Linked DNA regions of Saccharomyces cerevisiae S288C. The gene in region 2 interacts genetically with the main gene of each other region. Each region holds a gene or a part of one and is shown on either strand. Other genes may lie near its edges. The genes, in order: PET8, YME2, EHT1 and MNE1.

What was found.
Region 1: mutations in YME2 (region 2) and PET8 together harm fitness more than expected from each alone (negative genetic interaction), as found in Saccharomyces cerevisiae (2 studies listed by BioGRID).
Region 3: mutations in YME2 (region 2) and EHT1 together harm fitness more than expected from each alone (negative genetic interaction), as found in Saccharomyces cerevisiae (2 studies listed by BioGRID).
Region 4: mutations in YME2 (region 2) and MNE1 together harm fitness more than expected from each alone (negative genetic interaction), as found in Saccharomyces cerevisiae (2 studies listed by BioGRID).

What each region holds. Positions count from the first base shown.
Region 1 is NC_001146.8:623,771-627,721, forward strand, and holds PET8 (Pet8p), read right to left. Parts: upstream 2,060-3,951; coding exon 1,205-2,059; downstream 1-1,204. Other genes in the region: HRB1 (mRNA-binding protein), read left to right, coding at 1-851; RLP7 (Rlp7p), read right to left, coding at 2,404-3,372; ribosome dissociation factor DOM34, read left to right, coding at 3,686-3,951.
Region 2 is NC_001145.3:868,869-874,311, forward strand, and holds YME2 (Yme2p), read right to left. Parts: upstream 3,758-5,443; coding exon 1,205-3,757; downstream 1-1,204. Other genes in the region: ATP-binding cassette Fe/S cluster precursor transporter ATM1, read right to left, coding at 1-759; alcohol dehydrogenase ADH2, read right to left, coding at 4,423-5,443. UniProt on the Saccharomyces cerevisiae protein: Plays a role in maintaining the mitochondrial genome and in controlling the mtDNA escape. Involved in the regulation of mtDNA nucleotide structure and number. May have a dispensable role in early maturation of pre-rRNA.
Region 3 is NC_001134.8:583,943-588,395, reverse strand, and holds EHT1 (medium-chain fatty acid ethyl ester synthase/esterase), read left to right. Parts: upstream 1-2,233; coding exon 2,234-3,589; downstream 3,590-4,453. Other genes in the region: FZO1 (mitofusin), read left to right, coding at 1-1,849; ECM31 (3-methyl-2-oxobutanoate hydroxymethyltransferase), read right to left, coding at 3,738-4,453. UniProt on the Saccharomyces cerevisiae protein: Displays enzymatic activity both for medium-chain fatty acid (MCFA) ethyl ester synthesis and hydrolysis (esterase activity). MCFA are toxic for yeast and this enzyme could thus be involved in their detoxification by esterification.
Region 4 is NC_001147.6:992,118-997,311, forward strand, and holds MNE1 (Mne1p), read right to left. Parts: upstream 2,739-5,194; coding exon 747-2,738; downstream 1-746. Other genes in the region: CIN1 (Cin1p), read left to right, coding at 1-716; serine/threonine protein kinase MEK1, read right to left, coding at 2,901-4,394; TFIIH complex subunit TFB6, read left to right, coding at 5,096-5,194.

The DNA.
Region 1 (3,951 bases), on a different chromosome or scaffold from region 2:
GCACCCCCGAAGATCTCACTGAGTTTTTTTCACAGATAGGAAAAGTAGTCCGCGCGGATATAATTACATCAAGAGGGCACCACAGAGGTATGGGTACAGTAGAGTTCACTAATTCGGATGATGTTGACAGGGCCATCCGCCAGTACGATGGGGCCTTCTTCATGGATCGTAAAATCTTCGTCAGGCAAGATAATCCACCACCGTCAAACAATATCAAGGAAAGGAAAGCACTCGATAGAGGAGAGCTTAGACATAACCGAAAAACACATGAAGTTATTGTAAAAAATTTACCTGCTTCCGTTAATTGGCAGGCTTTGAAAGACATATTCAAGGAATGTGGGAATGTCGCACACGCTGATGTGGAATTGGATGGCGATGGAGTATCCACTGGATCTGGTACGGTGTCCTTTTATGATATTAAAGATCTGCATAGAGCGATTGAGAAATACAACGGTTATAGTATAGAGGGTAACGTCTTGGATGTCAAGTCTAAGGAAAGCGTACATAACCACAGTGATGGAGACGATGTTGATATCCCAATGGATGATTCTCCCGTTAACGAAGAAGCTCGAAAATTTACCGAAAACGTTGTCGGTGGAGGTGAAAGAAATAGACTCATATATTGCAGTAATTTGCCATTTTCAACTGCAAAAAGTGATCTTTACGACCTTTTCGAGACAATCGGAAAGGTTAACAATGCTGAATTAAGGTATGATTCCAAAGGGGCACCAACTGGAATAGCTGTCGTTGAATACGATAACGTCGATGATGCAGATGTTTGTATTGAAAGATTGAATAATTATAACTATGGGGGTTGTGATTTGGATATATCGTACGCTAAACGCCTCTAGAACTACTCTCGATCTATATACTTTCTCACCTATTGGATCTGCGACAAGTATTTATTCATTCTTGACTTATTTCCAGGCTTTTTAACTTTATAATGTCATTGTGTATACGTATAATCTGAAAAAATTTCGAAGACTTTGAAGAAGACTGTGAAAAGAGTCTGATTTTTCCAATACAGTGAAAATGGGTTTAACAAATATCCAAAAAAGTACTTTGAACAGATATCGTAAATAGACGACTTTTTTATATGAATAACAAAAAATAAACAACAGACAAGAGGCCTCAGAAGGCTTACGTAAAGTACGTAAACGATCTACCTCTTACAACTGGTAGTTGCTTTTGCTCTATGTTTTCATTACGCTCTCATTTCTCCAGCCGTTGGGAAACTTTTCGATAATAACGAATGAACAGTTTCATACATGCCTAGGAAGATAGCACCACCTGCACTGATCCACATTGTCCGGGGCCCCACTCCACTGAAAAATACAGCAGGACCTTCCTCTCTGTAAATCCTAATAATAACGCTTCCAAGTGAGGCGGTTGTTTTGTTGAGCATTAATCTGGTTTTCAAGAAATCTAATGGTGTCGTTGTAGCTGCTGCGATCCCACCCGCAATAGAACCGCAGATAGCCCCTTTCCATGGCTCCACTTGACTTTGGCCATTGGCTTTTGCCCAAGTCTTTTTTAGATACTCGTATAAAGGAAACTGTATACAAGTAAACGGTATTTCTCTCATAATGGTGGTAGACCACCCTCTATAAAGATTTTTCCTTAAACCTTCCTTATTGTCATTTCGTAGAATTGACTGTAAAGTCTGCCAGGAAGAATTGGTAGAGTGAACTTGCGTCCTTTGCTTAACGACTTCTGCGGGAACTCGAACAAGACAAGCACAAATTTCACCAATGGAAGAGGAAAGCATGTGCGTTGTCGTATCAATCAATTGCTCAGATCCCTGTGAGTAAAGTTTGCTGATATATGGCCTTGATTTTACTTTCATATAATCATAACTAATAAAGAAAAGTGAAGCACCTGGCGCCGATGCTACAACAGCGCTTCCCAAACCACGATATATGCCTTTGTATCCTCCATTAGCAAAGAATCCACCCTTAGCTTGAAGCCTGGTTTTAATTGTGTCTATAGGGAAAAAAACCAAATCCGTAGAGGTACCAGCAGCGGCGCCACTTAGCAAGGAAAGAAAAAAAGTATTCATAGCAAACTTTTCAAAGCGAATTTTAGTTCATCGGTGTGTCTAAACATATAAAATCGCCAAACAATTTACAACAAGTGGAGCTTTAATGATCTCATATATTCTCGAGGGTGCACCCCACTGCAAATGTATTTATATACAAAACAGCGCTCAGTAAGCGAGGAAAAAAAGAGGCGCCCGTGCTTTTGCCGATACATAAACTAAAAACCAATAAACTTGCCAAAATACGTATATTCTTCAATCCATGAGGCACCACTAATTATATGCAAAAGCTCAATATCTGCTCCTTCAATGGCATTAGATAACTAACAACCTATGTACTATACAATTTTAAAATACTCTCTTAATTAATTCAACTTGGCTAATAAAGAGTCAATGTCAACTTCGATAACTGGTGCTGTAGCTGCATTTGAAAATTGACGAGTTCTTGATTCAGCCTCCCGCTGTTTTATTTTCCTTAGCCTATTCAAAGAACCAAATCCAGATACTTCTCTATTCAACTTGAATGGTTGTAAGAAGAAGTTACAAACAGAAAAAGACTCACCCATAGTGGCAATCTCATGAATAATATCTTCAACACAAATTATTCCATGATCTCCTAATTGCTCCTCGACAATATTGTTGTCATTAAGAACTATTTCGTGAGGTTCAGCCTCATTCTCACCCTTATAGATTATTCTACCTCTCTTTTGAATCAAGGAACGGATAGAAGATAAAGAAGGCTTGCCAATCACTACGTATGGCGCAATAACCTTGAGCAACGGATATACGTTTTTGGTCAATTTGACGAAAACACCAGTATTAGTTTCAACTAATCTTAGCAAAGACAAAATCTTAAATGCTTTGTTTGGAATATTTACAGCAAGCGGACCTCTTACTCTGACAATGAAAAGTAAAGCAGGTTTGCCATCGTAAGTAGTCTTTTCTCTGATTAAACCATCGTCTTCTTCTTCTTCAGTCTCCTCCAAGTCGACAGAGTTCTCTTCGGCGCCATTAGCTTTTTCTGTTATTTTCAGAATAAAATCTTTCCCAGATGCAATATGCTGCGTTTCATTCTTTGCCTTCTTATCTTCTAATATAGACACTCTTTTAATTCTTTCCTTTTCCCTAGAGGTAGCCAAAGTCTTTGCAACTATACTTTCAGCTCTGACAAATTTGTTCTTATTACTTCTCTTTTTTTTGATTTGTTCTTCCCTCTTTTTCTTAGCTAATTCTTGTCTTTCGATTCTAGTTCTATCAGCATTTCTTCTTTTCCTCAAAAGAATTTCTGGATTAGAATTAAGAGTTTGCGCTTTACTGTCTTGAGTTGAAGACATTGTGACTTGTATATCTTATTCTTTTTCCCTGTGGCAGCCTCTTCTTTCTAGGAACTTAATAACGAAAGTACCAAACAACTTAGACTTTTCTCATCTCATCGCTTCCCAGCTTTTTTTAAGCAGAGCTGAAAAAAATTTTCTTTTTACCAAAAATCCGTACTGCGTGATGAAAGTGTACATACATTATTCAATATTCACCTAGTTTTGTATATTAATGTAAAATGTAATTTAATGAAGATCCCAAAAAATTAAGCATTCGTTGCTGCATCGTTGTCATTTTGTTCAATTATCGCATTCCTATCATAGCAAAAATATGAAGGTTATTAGTCTGAAAAAGGATTCTTTTAACAAAGGAGGAGCAGTGATTACTCTTTTACCGGAGGACAAGGAAGATCTGTTTACTGTTTATCAAATAGTAGACAAAGATGACGAGTTGATATTCAAGAAAAAATTCACCTCTAAACTTGATGAAGCTGGTAAGAAAAAAAGTACAGATTTGGTCAAGTTGAAGATTAAAGTAATATCCGAGGATTTTGATATGAAGGATGAATATTTGAAATATAAAGGTGTTACTGTTAC
Region 2 (5,443 bases):
TTGATACGTCAAAATCCCACAAACGACAGATATTTCAAAACTTATAGGGATAATGTGGAATACCATGGCCGTTAACACTTGAGATATACCCTTTGTACCTCTATCCATGGCCCTCGTCAGACCACCCGTTTGTCTACTCAAGTGCCATCCCAAATCTAACTTCATAAGGTGCTGGAAAGTTTGTAGCGACACAGTTCTAATGGCATTCTGTGCCACTTTGGCAAATACGGCGTTCCTCAGTTCGCCGAATAAAACAGAGCCGAACCTTGCAACACCATAGCAAAGAATGGTTAATCCAATCGCTGCCGGAAGGGCGACTGTAGGATCATCCCATGCTATATTCATTGAATCAATAGTTTGCTTGAAAAAAAAAGGTACTTGAACATTTAAAATTTTGGCGGATATCAACAGTCCAAGGGCAATCAGTACCCTTATCCTCACTTTATTGTTGCCTTTGGGCCAAATATAGCGAAATAGATCTTTCAAGATTTTCAGTTCCGAGAGGGTTGGGGCCTTGCTGGTCTTTTTTACCTGAGTCTTCACTTTTGGAGCCGACGAGAATTGCTCGACGGATTTTTTGTGCGTAATATCCTTTTGTGCTTGATTCCATAAATTCACAGCTGAATTGAATAACAGAGGCCGCTGGGTTGATAACTTAGACACAGTAAATATAACGGGCGAATGGTTCCGGATTAGACCAGATCTAAATTTTGATCTTACAATTCGCCCAATTACAGGACATCTTGGAAGAAGCAGCATTTGCAGGTTGGAGTGGAATCTATCAACAACGATATACTTACGTTGCTCTGTCGCAATTTTCGAAATTGTACTCTTTGCTGTGCTGATTGCTTTGTTTGCGATTATTAATGTAGAAAGTCATCGGAAAGCCCTCGCGCTCTTTCCCAGTGAAATTTCACGTGATGTAATCTGATGAAGGGCACGTATAGGTCAGTGACCTTTGCTGTGCAAATTGGGTAAGGTAATTTCTTTTAAAGACTTTAAGAATGGTAAAGTGAGGTACAACAACATATTATAAGACTTACTTGGTATGTACCTTACCTTCCTTAGATATTTTTCATGCTGCGTAGAAAATTGCACCATCTCCAATCGTCACTTTTATACATTTTCAAAAGAATATAGATGAGTATAGCAATATAGGGTTTACACATATGTACAGAAAAGCAGAATAGTAAGTTTTGTTTCATCACTTAGATAGGTTTTTAATTTCTTCTTCACATTTGGTAATGACTGCATTACTGGCATTGATTTTACCGGATAAATAGTCCAATCTGGTCTTGAAAAGTTTCTGATCAGGAACTTTCCCCAAAGGTTTTAATTCTTCTTCCCATTTCTTGATTCTACCAGTTTCAAAACCCACAACCTTTAATAAGTAACGGGTTTTTAGCACTTTTGCGAGTTCAGGATCGTTGATCAAGTATGTGAATGCTGCCCTGTATAGCGGTTTGGCAGGCCTGATTTCCTGTAAAACACCCCTATCTCTAGATACAGTTATTAAACCATTATTCTCCAATTCCATGATTCCCGTTTCTGGTGCGGCTTTGAATAATGGCTTGTTAACGATTTCATGGAATGGAATGACTGGGTTCGCACTCAATAATTCGATTAATTCCCAGGCTTGTGCACTTTTATTGCTGTCAATCTTGTCACTTAAAAACATTTGAGTTATTTGCTCAGAAGCCTGTTCAATCATTTTGTCTACTGCTTCCGAGGGCTCTTCTCCTGACTTTACCCTTCTTACAAATGCCTGTAAGTCTAACATCCTACCACCCAATGGCTCTAAAGAAGCGTCAATTTCCTGTAATTCCTTTTCATTTAAAATAACCTCAGCTTTTTTGACACTCGTATCGGCCTCACTATCAGAATCATTATTTTCAGCAGTTTCCTTTTCTGATTCAGGTTCTTTTACGTTTTCACCCTTGGATTTTTTATTGTAATATAAGTAATCCTCCAATTGGGATAATACATAGTTCCTCGAATTCTCTTTTGAGGCATCTGATAGGATTAGGTTTTTGAAGACTTGATTGGGTAGTGATTCGCTCAATCTTTGGTTGGATGCAACGGTTTCCGTTAAGAAAATCACATGAGCAATATTCATTTGAACTAGCATAGCTGCCCAATCGGATAGTTCCTTATACACAAATCCATTTATTTCCGACTTGCCCTCAAACCTATCTATGACGATAACGGGTTTAGCTTCCGGATGTTGCTGTAGGTAATCTTCTTCCTTAACATTAACTGTCCCATCACCGGTGGAAACAAAAGCCTTGTAATTCTTGAGAGCAATACGTCTAATGGACATCAATGAGGTAGTTAACATGTTTCTAAACCGAGATTCCTTCGTCTCAGACAACCCAGTTTTTTGCCCTGTTAATCCTTGCACTGTTAAATCAAGGACACCTGTGACAGAGTCAATCCATGGGAATATTGGGAAATAACCCAATTGACTAGCGGCATTTTTTAAAAACATAGGATCTGTTCTGGACTTAATCAATTTATCACAATCCAAATACAAAACATTTGCTCTATTTTGCAAAGTGTGTTGCATGACCAAATCATGTTTCCCTGAACCTCTAGGCCCCCTTATAACCACAAAAGTATTATTATTTTCTTCAAGCCACATTTTCAGGTCATTCACTTTCTCTATTCTTTCCTCCCATAAATGCTTTCTTTGGTGATTATCATCAGGGCCGCCCCAGTAGTACTTGATAGAAGTCATGGTAGATGAGGTTAGCGTTTTCAGTTGTTTCCAAAACTTATTGTCCCACGATAAAGAATATTTGTGAGTGATCTTCTGTTCAATCGAAAATTCTCTTATAGGATCAAACACTAAAACAGCAAAGATTGAAAGTAGCGCAAATAAAACTGGAATAGCAATCCTTGTATGGTTGGTGAAAAAATTACTAACTAGATGGCCTCTTCTGATATTTTCGTATTGTATGTGTAAGACGGTATTATGAATTTCGATACCGGAAACACAATTCTTGGCAGAAATGGCACCACGGAATGAACGGTATCTTACCTTTGCCACATTGTTGTTAGCAGCAGTGGGAGGGAAAATATCAATAATTGTCCCATATCTTCTGAATAAAGAGTATATTTCTTCTTCTGTTAAGGCGGGCCCTTGGAACTTGATGACTATAGTGGTACTTGGTAGTCTTCTTAAATCCTCAATCCAAGGCGAACCCTTTACTGGGAAGGCAGAAGCTCGAGTGAAGTACGAGAGTAAGTTTTTAGAGGATTCTCTGGCTGTATTCTGTTGGATTAGAGAATTTACCTGAGCTTTTGTATACTTGGGTGGAACGACAAATGTGGCAAATACACCACCATCCCTTTTCACTGGAATGGTAGACTTCAACTCCAGTCCATAAATGGGGTTATTGGGTGGACTGGCTAAATTCCTTATTTTCTCCCTCACTGCATCCCGTGACTGGTTTCTTAGCAGGAGATTGTACCACAGTGTTGGATTCCAAACCGAGGTGGTTCTAGCGTAAACATTATCGAAATATATCAGAGTTTCTTCATCTGATTTGTGAATAACACCAGTATCGGTGGCGGTGTTTGACTCTCCTGCCTGCTGATCCTTTTGCTGGATCTCGCTCGACACATGTCTCACTGAGGGTTGGGCATTCATCAGGTTCGCTAGTCTATATTTGCCCTTGAGGATGCCTATTCCTCTGGCGAGGCATGGCACTGGCATCCTTGACACATTCAGGGAAGTCGTTCGTACTAGCAACATGGTTTACTTTTACAAATACTACTTCCTGTATAGGCCCGCTATATTTTGGTTTTAGATCCTGTCAATACTGAGTTCATCTTTCATTTTCTCAATATAACATTACCGTTATCTCCCTTATACTTCTCAAATTCCCATCTACGGAACCCTGATCAAGCCCTGAGAAACTATATGAGGGTGTGTACATTGCAGTGCATCATTTGTGAGGGTTCAATAATTGAAATTATAGGGTGGACGTCAAGACGAAAAGTGAAAAATTACATCCGTATAGAATTATATAACTTGATGAGATGAGATGAGTAAATGACAGAAGAATTACCGTTTCATCATTGAACTTCGATCATTTCAATGCTGGCATGCGAAGGAAAATGAGAAATATCGAGGGAGACGATTCAGAGGAGCAGGACAAACTATAACCGACTGTTTGTTGGAGGATGCCGTACATAACGAACACTGCTGAAGCTACCATGTCTACAGTTTAGAGGAATGGGTACAACTCACAGGCGAGGGATGGTGTTCACTCGTGCTAGCAAACGCGGTGGGAGCAAAAAGTAGAATATTATCTTTTATTCGTGAAACTTCGAACACTGTCATCTAAAGATGCTATATACTAATATAGGCATACTTGATAATGAAAACTATAAATCGTAAAGACATAAGAGATCCGCTTATTTAGAAGTGTCAACAACGTATCTACCAGCAATTTGGCCCTTCTCCATCTTTTCGTAAATTTCTGGTAAACTGGATAAGCCAACTACCTTTATTGGAGACTTGACTAGACCTCTGGCAAAGAAATCTAAGGCTTCTCTGGTATCAGCTCTGTTCCCCACGTAAGAGCCGACAATGGAGATAGACTTGACAACGTGGTTGAAGACATCAGAGGAGCACTTTGCACCGGCTGGCAAACCAACCAAGACAACAGTACCGTTCGCCCTACAGTATCTGGTAGAAGCTTCGATAGCGGCTTCGGAAACGGAAACATTGATGATACCGTGGGCACCGCCGTTGGTAGCCTTAACGACTGCGCTAACAATGTCCTTCTCTTTGGTGAAGTCGATGAATACTTCACCACCGAGCGAGGTAAACAATTCTTCCTTTCCTGGACCACCATCAATACCTAAGACTCTGTAACCCATCGCCTTAGCATATTGAACAGCCAAAGAACCTAGACCACCAGCAGCACCAGAAATGGCCGCCCAGTGGCCTGCTCTCAAGTTGGCAGACTTCAAAGCCTTGTATACGGTGATACCAGCACACAAGATTGGCGCGACTTCAGCCAAGTCAGTACCTTGAGGAATGTGAGCGGCTTGAACAGCGTCAGCGGTAGCGTATTCTTGGAAAGAACCGTCGTGGGTGTAACCAGACAAGTCAGCGTGAGGACAGTTGGATTCGTTACCCAATTCACAGTATTCACAGGCCATACAAGAACCGTTCAACCATTTGATACCGGCGTAGTCACCGATCTTCCAGCCCTTAACGTTTTCACCCATGCCGACAACGACACCGGCACCTTCGTGACCACCAACTAATGGTAACTTAGTTGGCAATGGCCAGTCACCATGCCAAGCGTGCAAATCGGTGTGGCAGACACCAGAGTACTTGACGTTGATTAACAATTCGTTGGGCTTTGGCTTTGGAACTGGGATATCCTTATGCTCCAACTTGCCGTTGGATTCGTAGAAGATAATG
Region 3 (4,453 bases), on a different chromosome or scaffold from region 2:
TGCCATACCACTAAACATTGCTCCGACTCTCAAGGAAGCCATTGATATGTATTCAATACAAAATCCCAAGACTTATGAAATACACACTTTGAAAGAACTTCCCGATTTGGTTCCCCAAAACGGAAAATATGCTTTACTGAAGATTTACATAAAGGACGATAAAAGGCCTGCCTCTACTAGTCTATTAAGGAATGGTACTGTTGATATTTCATTAATTGACTCCCCTGGGTTGAACATGGACTCGTTACAAACCGCCGAAGTAATGTCCCGACAAGAAGAAATCGACTTAGTTATATTTGTTGTCAATGCAGAGAACCAGCTAACACTATCTGCCAAGGAGTTTATTTCTTTAGCATCTCGTGAGAAAAAATTAATGTTTTTTGTTGTGAAAAAATTTGACAAAATCAGGGACAAACAACGTTGTAAGGAGTTGATCCTAAAGCAAATCCGTGACCTGTCCCCAGAAACATATAAACGTGCAGCTGATTTTGTCCACTTTGTTTCCAAAAACGGAGATGAATTGCCACATTATCATAATGAAAATGACAATGAAGATCATGGTGACCGAAAACCTGACGACGACCCATATTCTAGCAGCGATCCCGATCCGGATTTTGACAGTCTGGAAGATTCTCTACGCAATTTTGTTTTGAAGAAAAGATCACTTTCTAAATTGTTACCTGCCAAGACTTATCTATCGAAATTATTAAGCGATATAATAATGATCTCCAAATCTAATATGAAAATGTATAGTGAAGAAGAAATAAAAATTAACGAACAACTGGAAACATTGAGACCTGAAATTTTGAGCGCTAGAGCAAAGTGCAATGATTTAACAACTTCCGTTGATCAAATGGCCGAGCAAACAATTACAATGACTTATAACAATACTAAAGAAGCACTTCTCAATGCGTTGGATGTTCCGCTACACGAATATCCGAAATATCAGGGCCTCGGTCAAATTTATGACTTCATATTTTCAACAGAAGCGTTCATAGCAAATCAGATTGATGAGTCAATAGGATCAAGTGAATTATTTGCCAAGCAAAAGACAGATTTACTGGTAAAAAAAATTTATGAGATTGGAAAAAATGAACTTGGTGATGATTTCATGTGTGAACGTGTTTTCAGAAGCGAACTAATGTTTAGAAAAAGGAAGCATTTGATAGGAAAAAGGCTTAAAGTATCTTTGTCAATAACTGATTTGTTTGCTCCAACTTGGAAAGGCTTTTTGTCTTACTTAAGCTGGCAGAAACCTGTCACAGCACCACTGCCGGATATAGAAGGACAAACTAACGAGGGTCAGATTGGCCTAATGAAGTATTTGGGTTTGAAAAATTATCCTTTGACACAATATTGGTCAAGACCATCATTGCTCTTCACATCAAAAATTCCCACTCTAACGCTGTACTTTCTAGGAAGTACAAAGGTTGTGGGGAACATTATATTAAACGGCATTAAATTATCGTCGTGGAGCTCACTCAAGAAGTTATCAGTTCCGGTTATAGTGGTAGGTTCCTTGTTGGGACTTACGTATTTAATTCATGACCTCCCCCGTGCCTTACCAATGAATCTTTCCATTAAATACAAAAGAAAGTTGCAAGAACTGGATTACATTCATCTTAACGCTCAAAGAACCTCAAATGAAGTACGTGATGTTTTGCGTGTACCTACACGTGAAATTCTAAGGTCGTGTGAAATAATTATGGATAAAAAACAAATCACTAAGAAAGAATTGGAAAACAAAAAAGAAAGTAACTTGTTGTCAATCAAATTCTTCCAATCTCTATACGAAGGAACCGTGGCTCAAAAATTGATGGTGGAAGAAATAAATTTAGACATCGATTAGATATTCTTGTAAATATATGAGGTCTTTTCAAATCAATATACATAATGTTACTTATTATTTTATTCCAAGCAGGTCCATTTTTTTTTTCACTTTGCACGAAATTACATAAACATTAAAAGGACCCTTGTGTATCTGCTTAATGATTTGCAAAACCTGCGGAAACGGAACGAAAAATGAGCAATCTCGTTCCGGTTCCGAGATCCTTTTTTTTTTTTAAATCTTGCGCATGTGCAGATTTTAAAAGGCGTCAGATATCGGATGTCCCTGGAAGTAATAGCTCCTCGAGTATTTCCTCCGTTTATTATTAATATGAGCAGTTTTTTAAGTTCTATTATTACATTGATAGTAGTTGCGTAAAAAACAAAGCTCATAAAAGTTTCCGATATGTCAGAAGTTTCCAAATGGCCAGCAATCAACCCATTCCATTGGGGATACAATGGTACAGTTTCGCATATTGTCGGTGAAAATGGTTCCATTAAACTCCATTTAAAAGACAACAAGGAGCAAGTTGATTTTGACGAGTTCGCTAACAAATATGTCCCAACGTTGAAGAATGGTGCCCAATTCAAATTGAGTCCTTACTTGTTCACAGGTATTTTGCAAACTTTGTACTTAGGTGCTGCTGATTTCTCTAAGAAATTTCCTGTATTCTACGGCAGGGAAATTGTCAAATTCTCGGATGGTGGAGTTTGCACCGCTGACTGGCTCATAGATTCATGGAAAAAGGATTATGAATTCGATCAAAGTACTACGAGCTTTGATAAAAAAAAATTTGATAAAGACGAGAAGGCGACACATCCAGAAGGATGGCCTCGTTTACAACCACGTACAAGGTACCTGAAAGATAATGAGTTGGAAGAACTACGGGAGGTTGATCTACCCCTAGTAGTTATTCTACATGGTCTTGCTGGTGGTAGTCATGAGCCGATTATAAGATCTCTTGCTGAAAACCTGTCTCGCAGTGGGAGATTTCAAGTGGTCGTCCTAAATACCAGAGGTTGTGCACGTTCCAAAATTACCACCAGAAATTTATTTACAGCTTATCACACAATGGATATTCGCGAGTTTTTGCAAAGAGAAAAGCAAAGACATCCAGATAGAAAACTATACGCTGTGGGATGCTCTTTTGGTGCTACGATGCTGGCAAACTATCTGGGAGAAGAGGGCGATAAATCACCTTTATCCGCAGCTGCTACTTTGTGCAATCCTTGGGATCTTCTCCTTTCAGCAATTAGGATGAGCCAGGATTGGTGGTCAAGAACTTTATTTTCCAAAAATATTGCGCAATTCTTAACAAGAACCGTTCAGGTTAATATGGGTGAATTAGGAGTTCCAAATGGCTCTCTCCCCGATCATCCTCCCACAGTCAAGAATCCATCTTTCTATATGTTCACGCCTGAAAATCTAATAAAGGCAAAGAGCTTTAAATCGACCCGGGAATTTGATGAAGTGTACACTGCGCCTGCTTTAGGCTTCCCAAATGCTATGGAGTATTATAAAGCGGCCAGCTCAATAAACAGAGTTGATACAATTCGGGTTCCTACCCTTGTTATCAATTCCAGGGATGATCCTGTTGTCGGCCCAGATCAACCATACTCAATCGTGGAAAAGAATCCTCGTATTTTGTATTGTAGAACCGATTTAGGTGGTCATTTAGCTTACCTAGATAAAGACAACAACTCGTGGGCTACCAAGGCAATTGCAGAATTTTTCACTAAGTTTGATGAATTAGTCGTATGATGTCACACAATTTTCAAACCACTTTCCTATGTATTTATACAACATTGGATCAATGCCCCTTTATTTTAAGTTATGTATTTTTTGTTGTCTTCAGTATACCTAAAATTTAAAGTTTTTTTCCCTATGCAGTGATTTTTATCTATATATTTTACTTTTCGTTAATTGAAGAGAGGAATTCATTCCATAAGTCCTCCTTAACTTTGAAAGTATGAGTACCTCTCTCAGGAAATGTCCTATCCTCTACACTTGCAATGTACTCCTTCAAGCCCTGAGTGGCAATATCTGTCATATTTACAGCTTGCTTCACAAATTTTGGGACAGAATCGCCTTGCATCCCGAGAAGGTCAGATATAACTAGAACTTGTCCACTGGTACCGTTACCTGCACCGATACCTATTGTTGGTACTGAGAGTTTAGATGTTATGAACTGAGCCATCTTATGGGGGACACATTCAATCAGGATAGACCAACAGCCAATTTTTTGTAGTTGCATGGCGGTTTCATACAGCTCCTGCATTTGTAATAGACTTTTGCTACCTTGCACTTTATAACCTCCAAGTGAATGAACTTTTTGGGGAGTTAGTCCTATATGAGCCATAACAGGTATACCCCGGGAGCACAGTTCTTCAATAAATTTCATTGCATATTTGTCTTTGGTGTAAGAACCGACTTCAACTTTGACTGAGGTGACTTTACTGTCCAATTTCATGATATCTATGGCATTCTTCAAGCCATCAGATATGCCCGATTCAAACGTACCGAATGGCATGTCTACCACTACCATGGAAGAACCTTCAGCTCTGCACACAGAGGCAACATGATATTTAAACTCATTCAAGGATAGTGTAATTGTGCTATCGTACC
Region 4 (5,194 bases), on a different chromosome or scaffold from region 2:
TGTTATCTGACTCTTCGATACTCAATTTCCGTCACAAGCAAGGTTTAAGTGAAGAATTCTGGAAAGGATATGCAGTGAGCGCTGGAGCAATACATTTTACAGATTCTCAGCTTACTTCATCAATAGATTCATTTATCGTATACTACAGATCTTTGTCTCCTTCACAACAGCTGGAATTATGCCACGATTTAATCAGAATAATTCCAAGCGCTAAACAAATCGCTGAATCAAGAATACGCGATCGTAACAAGGATCCATTAACAGGAGGTATGAGATTTGACACCATCAAATTCACCATTCATTGTGTAAAATTTTGGACTAGAATCATGGAATCTGGGTTGGTTGTTCTACATCCAAATTTTAATTTTCAGGGTGTTTTCGCCAAGTTCTATAACCTACATTTATTAGATTGTACGACATTGAGAGTAAGCGTGATCAAATTCTTCCCGTTCTTGGCAATATCTTGTTACCACACAATGAGAGAAAATGCTGACCAGAAGAATCTATCCAACATAATACTGAAAAGGTTGTTGGTTCTTGTGAAACGTGAATACGCCGCAACAAAATCAAAATTTATGACTGATCAAAATGTCGCTTTACAAGGTATGTTCCAGATATTTTTGGAATTAGGTGTCACCAGGCAACTCCAAGCTCTACAAGTGGCCTGCCAGAAACATGAATTGGCGAATATATTAGAGTCTGATATCACTTTATAGAATGTAAACGGCAAATTTTACATATAATCATTATTTTTGTTGCATTTGCTTAGATCTTATGTAAGAAAATAGATTTTCTACTCTCTTTGCATAGGATACATCCGCAGCAAAATTATATTCCGCATCATTTGCGGTAAATAAAGCTTCATTCCGCATTTCTTTATCTCTTTTTGCTTTAGATTTTTGGAAAATTTCTGAATCCATATGAAATAGAGTTTTTCGCTCCCCAAAAATTTTGCGCAATTCCATTATGTTTATTGGTTGAATGGTCCCTTTTTCTGACTTAAATGGTTTATTCTCAACATACCATTCGCCGACGTCATCTGTTATCTGCAAAACTCTATCGGTGTTTTCTTGTATATCAATTTCTAAGCTGGATAGCCATTCAGAAATTGCATCTCCGATTTGTATTGGCAACCTCCACGAAAACTTATCACTAAACTTATCGAAAAGAAAAAATTTGTGACTTTGTGTAACCAACAAATTATAGAAAGCAAAATAGAAAAAATCAGAATCAGAGTAGTTTTTGCAGACTTTCAACATCGAGAGAAAATCGTGGGAGGTAAATTGATAGCCGATTTCATTCAACTGGTTATACAATGCCAGTAGAGTAAGTTTGGTAGAAATATCTTGAGAGGCGCCATGAAAGAGGCAATGAAAAGTGGAATTTTCTTTGTTTCCAACTATATTATCTGTGAGTAATAATGGCTGCCATAAATTTTTTTCGTATACTATGTGCTCGACCAATGAAAGCATAAAATCGAAATCCTTGCGCACAGATAAGTGACACAGTAGCATATCAATAAAAAAAGCTCTTAAGGAATGCAGGTTGGACTCAGCCTGCATTTGGTCATCAACCTCCTTAATGTGCTTTTTCCATACTTCTAAGTTCAGAGGCAAATCACTTAATTTAAACGATAGAAATTGAAGAAATGAATCTTGCTTGAGAGGTTCGAAATTATCTTTTGATAAAATATGTATGCTCTGCTTCAAACTCACGTCAGTTGGTAATTTTTCAAGTCCGAATTGCCTAGTGACAGCGGTAGTTGATGATAATCCATTCATGGTTTCAATAACTTTGAGGCAAGAATGGTTCTGGGATAATTGTATCAAGTTGGAGGAATCATGCTGATCAAAATGAAAGTTCCATTCAGACAAGCTCCTTAAAATCTGACAAGCTTCATTCTCCATATTTTGTGCTATCATTACTTTTAGACTTTTGACTAGGCATGGACTAAATAACTCCAACAATTGAATAGCTCTTTCACGCTCCTTCGAACCTCTTAAACCAGAATCCGGTACACATGAGGATAAAATATCCAACATACTTGTCCATTGGGAGGTCTCCACATAAAATGCCAGCTGGGATAAATTGGCTAATAATTGACCCTCCGAATTTTCCGCGAACAACCGCTGTATTGCCCTTAAGTAGTAGTTCGATTGGGATTTAACAATTAAAAGAGTACAATTCCTCAAAAATTTTATGTTTGCCCGAAATTTTCCTTCTATAGTTAAAGATTTGGTTTTAAGAAAATAATAGCGATCCAATAATTGCAATGAAAATTTAGCTAGTGCAATTTTGTCATTTGCGGACCGAAGCGATAGTTTATAGAGCATATTAGATAGCTCATGATAAAATTCCAAAGGCAGCCGATCAGGTGGGAATGCATCAATCTGTCGGCCACTTTTATTTAGCCATTTTATGTGACCTGTGCCAATACGATTCAACAACGCAAAATACAAAGCAGGATTATCGGATGTACGAAGCTTCTGTAGAGTAGTCAGTACCACATTTAATCGTAAATTTACATTTTGGAGCTTATCTTCATTCAGTTTATCTTTTCTTGTTAGCGCATCCTTCAACCATTTATCAGTTATTGAGTTAGTTCTTTTGTTATTTGGTAAACGTTTATGCGATGATGGCTGTCGCCCTAGCTGTGGTAGTATTTCAGGAGTGATTAAAGAGTCCTTAATCAGCTTACCAATATGACTAGACGAATATCTTTTAAAAAGTAACTTCATATTCTTCTTGGCACACTACTATCATTTTTTCTCGCCGTTTCTAGTAGAAAAGGGCAACTTTTACTTAAAAATCATACAATTGACTTACTTTTTTTTTTTTACACAGATACCTTTTTATTTTGAACTACGCGCAGTTTGAAAGAGGAAGAGATAATCCTATGATTACTCCAAAACCTTCTTCTTTTTCGGTATTGCCTGAGAAATGATAACACTTTTGGGTAACTTCCTTTTCCAGTCTGAATTTATACTTTCTAGTTTAGGGCCTTCGTTATTGCACAATATCTTTTTGTAATATAATCTCTCTAATTGACTTAAGTGTTTTGCAATCCAAATATGTTTGAGACCTTGCTTACTATTTAATCGTTTAACTACGTCAGTTTGCAAAAGGTCTTTGACAAAACTCTTGGCATTATCTGAAACAATATCCCACTGCTTCAGTTTGAAATTCAGCTTCCCAATTTTTGCATTTTGAATAATACTCCTCTCAGAACCATCTCCATAAAAAGGCGAGATCCCTGTTAACATAATGTGTGTAATGACACCCAAAGACCAAAGATCACATTTACTGTCATAACCTCGTTGCTCTAACGTAGCTGCTCTTGAGAAGCTTTGATATGCTTTTCTGTTTGCTCTGAATCCAACTTCTGGAGCGCAGTATTCCGGAGTGCCTACGACAGTATGCATTCTTTCTTTGTTGGAATTTAAATCTTTAGCTATACCAAAGTCTGCCAAGACGATTCTAGTGCACGGTTCTGGCGTACATAACAAAATATTGTCTAGTTTCAAATCGCGGTGAACAATGTCTTGATCATGAAGGTAGTTTAAAGCTTGCAAAATTTGAAAGACGATCAATAGCGATTCAGTTTCTGACATGGAAGTTAGACAGTCGCCTTTAGCTAGGTAAGAAAACAAATCACCACCAGGGATAAGATCCTGGAATATGTAAAGGTGATTGTTCCTGTCACAGAAAGTATGGTAGACTTTGATAATATTTGGGTGATCCAGTCTCAAAAGGATTCGAGCCTCTTTATCGAATTTATTTGGTTTTAGTTTAATGATCTTCACAGCATAATTTTCAGGGTGATAACAGACATCTTCATCACGTTCTTTTGAGTTATGCGTGATCAGAACATGACCGAAAGTGCCATTACCCACTATTCTATTTGTTATTTCCCATTGGTCTACTTCCCTCAGAAAACCCATTTGATCTAAAAGTTTTGGGTCCAGAGAAGATTGTAAATCATCATTAATCATAAAAACTAGTCGTGTTTTTTTAATGTCATTTTCTTCACTTCCCTGCGATAATTCAATAACGTCGCAATGTTTTAAAAGATACGTTTTGTCCCTTTTCAAAAGCAAACCGTTCAAATACGTTCCATTAAGAGAACAATCTTTAACGTAGAACATTGGAATACTATCCTCATCAAAAAAGACACACCAAAACACGCAATGAACAGAGGAGATAGAGGGATTCGTTAGAACGAGTTGACATTCCTTATCATTTCTCCCAACTTTCACGAGCTGATGCTTTACTATAGGTATTGTCTGCTCTGTATTATAGCCGCCTACATTAACTTCCAGGTGAGCAGGAGCTACGCCACCTGCCATCTCAATATCATCTTTGGTTGCAAGGTTGCAGCTATACAACGGTCTCATTCCGCTCTTCTTCTTTCTGTTGTATATTTGGTCCTTAATAAAATTTGAAACGTACAAGAGCACTCCAGAAGGAGCTCAAGTAAAAAATTAGTCAAACCTCTCCCTTTTATACTTGAATGAATGAAATAGCCGCCGAAATTTAGCCGCCATCATTCTTCTTTTCCCCGGCTAAATTACCACGGTATGCTTTATGATTGGAAAATACCCATAAAGTAGGAATAAACTACAAATGATTCCACTTAATGAAAGATAAGCAGACAAATATACTGCATATAAGTGAAAAATAGTGAGGAGATCGCTATCAGTCAATATTGTGAAGGACCTACCTACTCTTTTTCTAGATATATATTTTTTATTTGCACAGGACCCCTCTTGCATAATTGTTCCTACTAATACGGTAGGTAGCACACAATTTTACACCACTTGCTTTACAATCATACCTCATAGGGCCTTCTTATTCTGATAATGCCCCTTTTAGAATGGCTAAACTGCTTACGTCCCGCTTTCTTACGCACTGCGCGCAACATGCAGGAAGAACAAACAACCTCGCCCTGTTTCCATAATGAAGGTCCTTGAAATAGAAGCCCCACAAAAGGGTGGAAATGTGGCAGAATAAACAGTAAGCTAACTGTTGTAGAGACTCCAAGCCCTGGTAAGGAAAGAAATATTATAAAAATAAAAGATTTCAACACAGTATTTTGATGTCTGAGCCAAACACACCATTACATGCTCAACCGAATGAGCAACTGGACTTGAACAACTTAAATGATCTAGATGAAAAAGACATTGATGATTTAAAC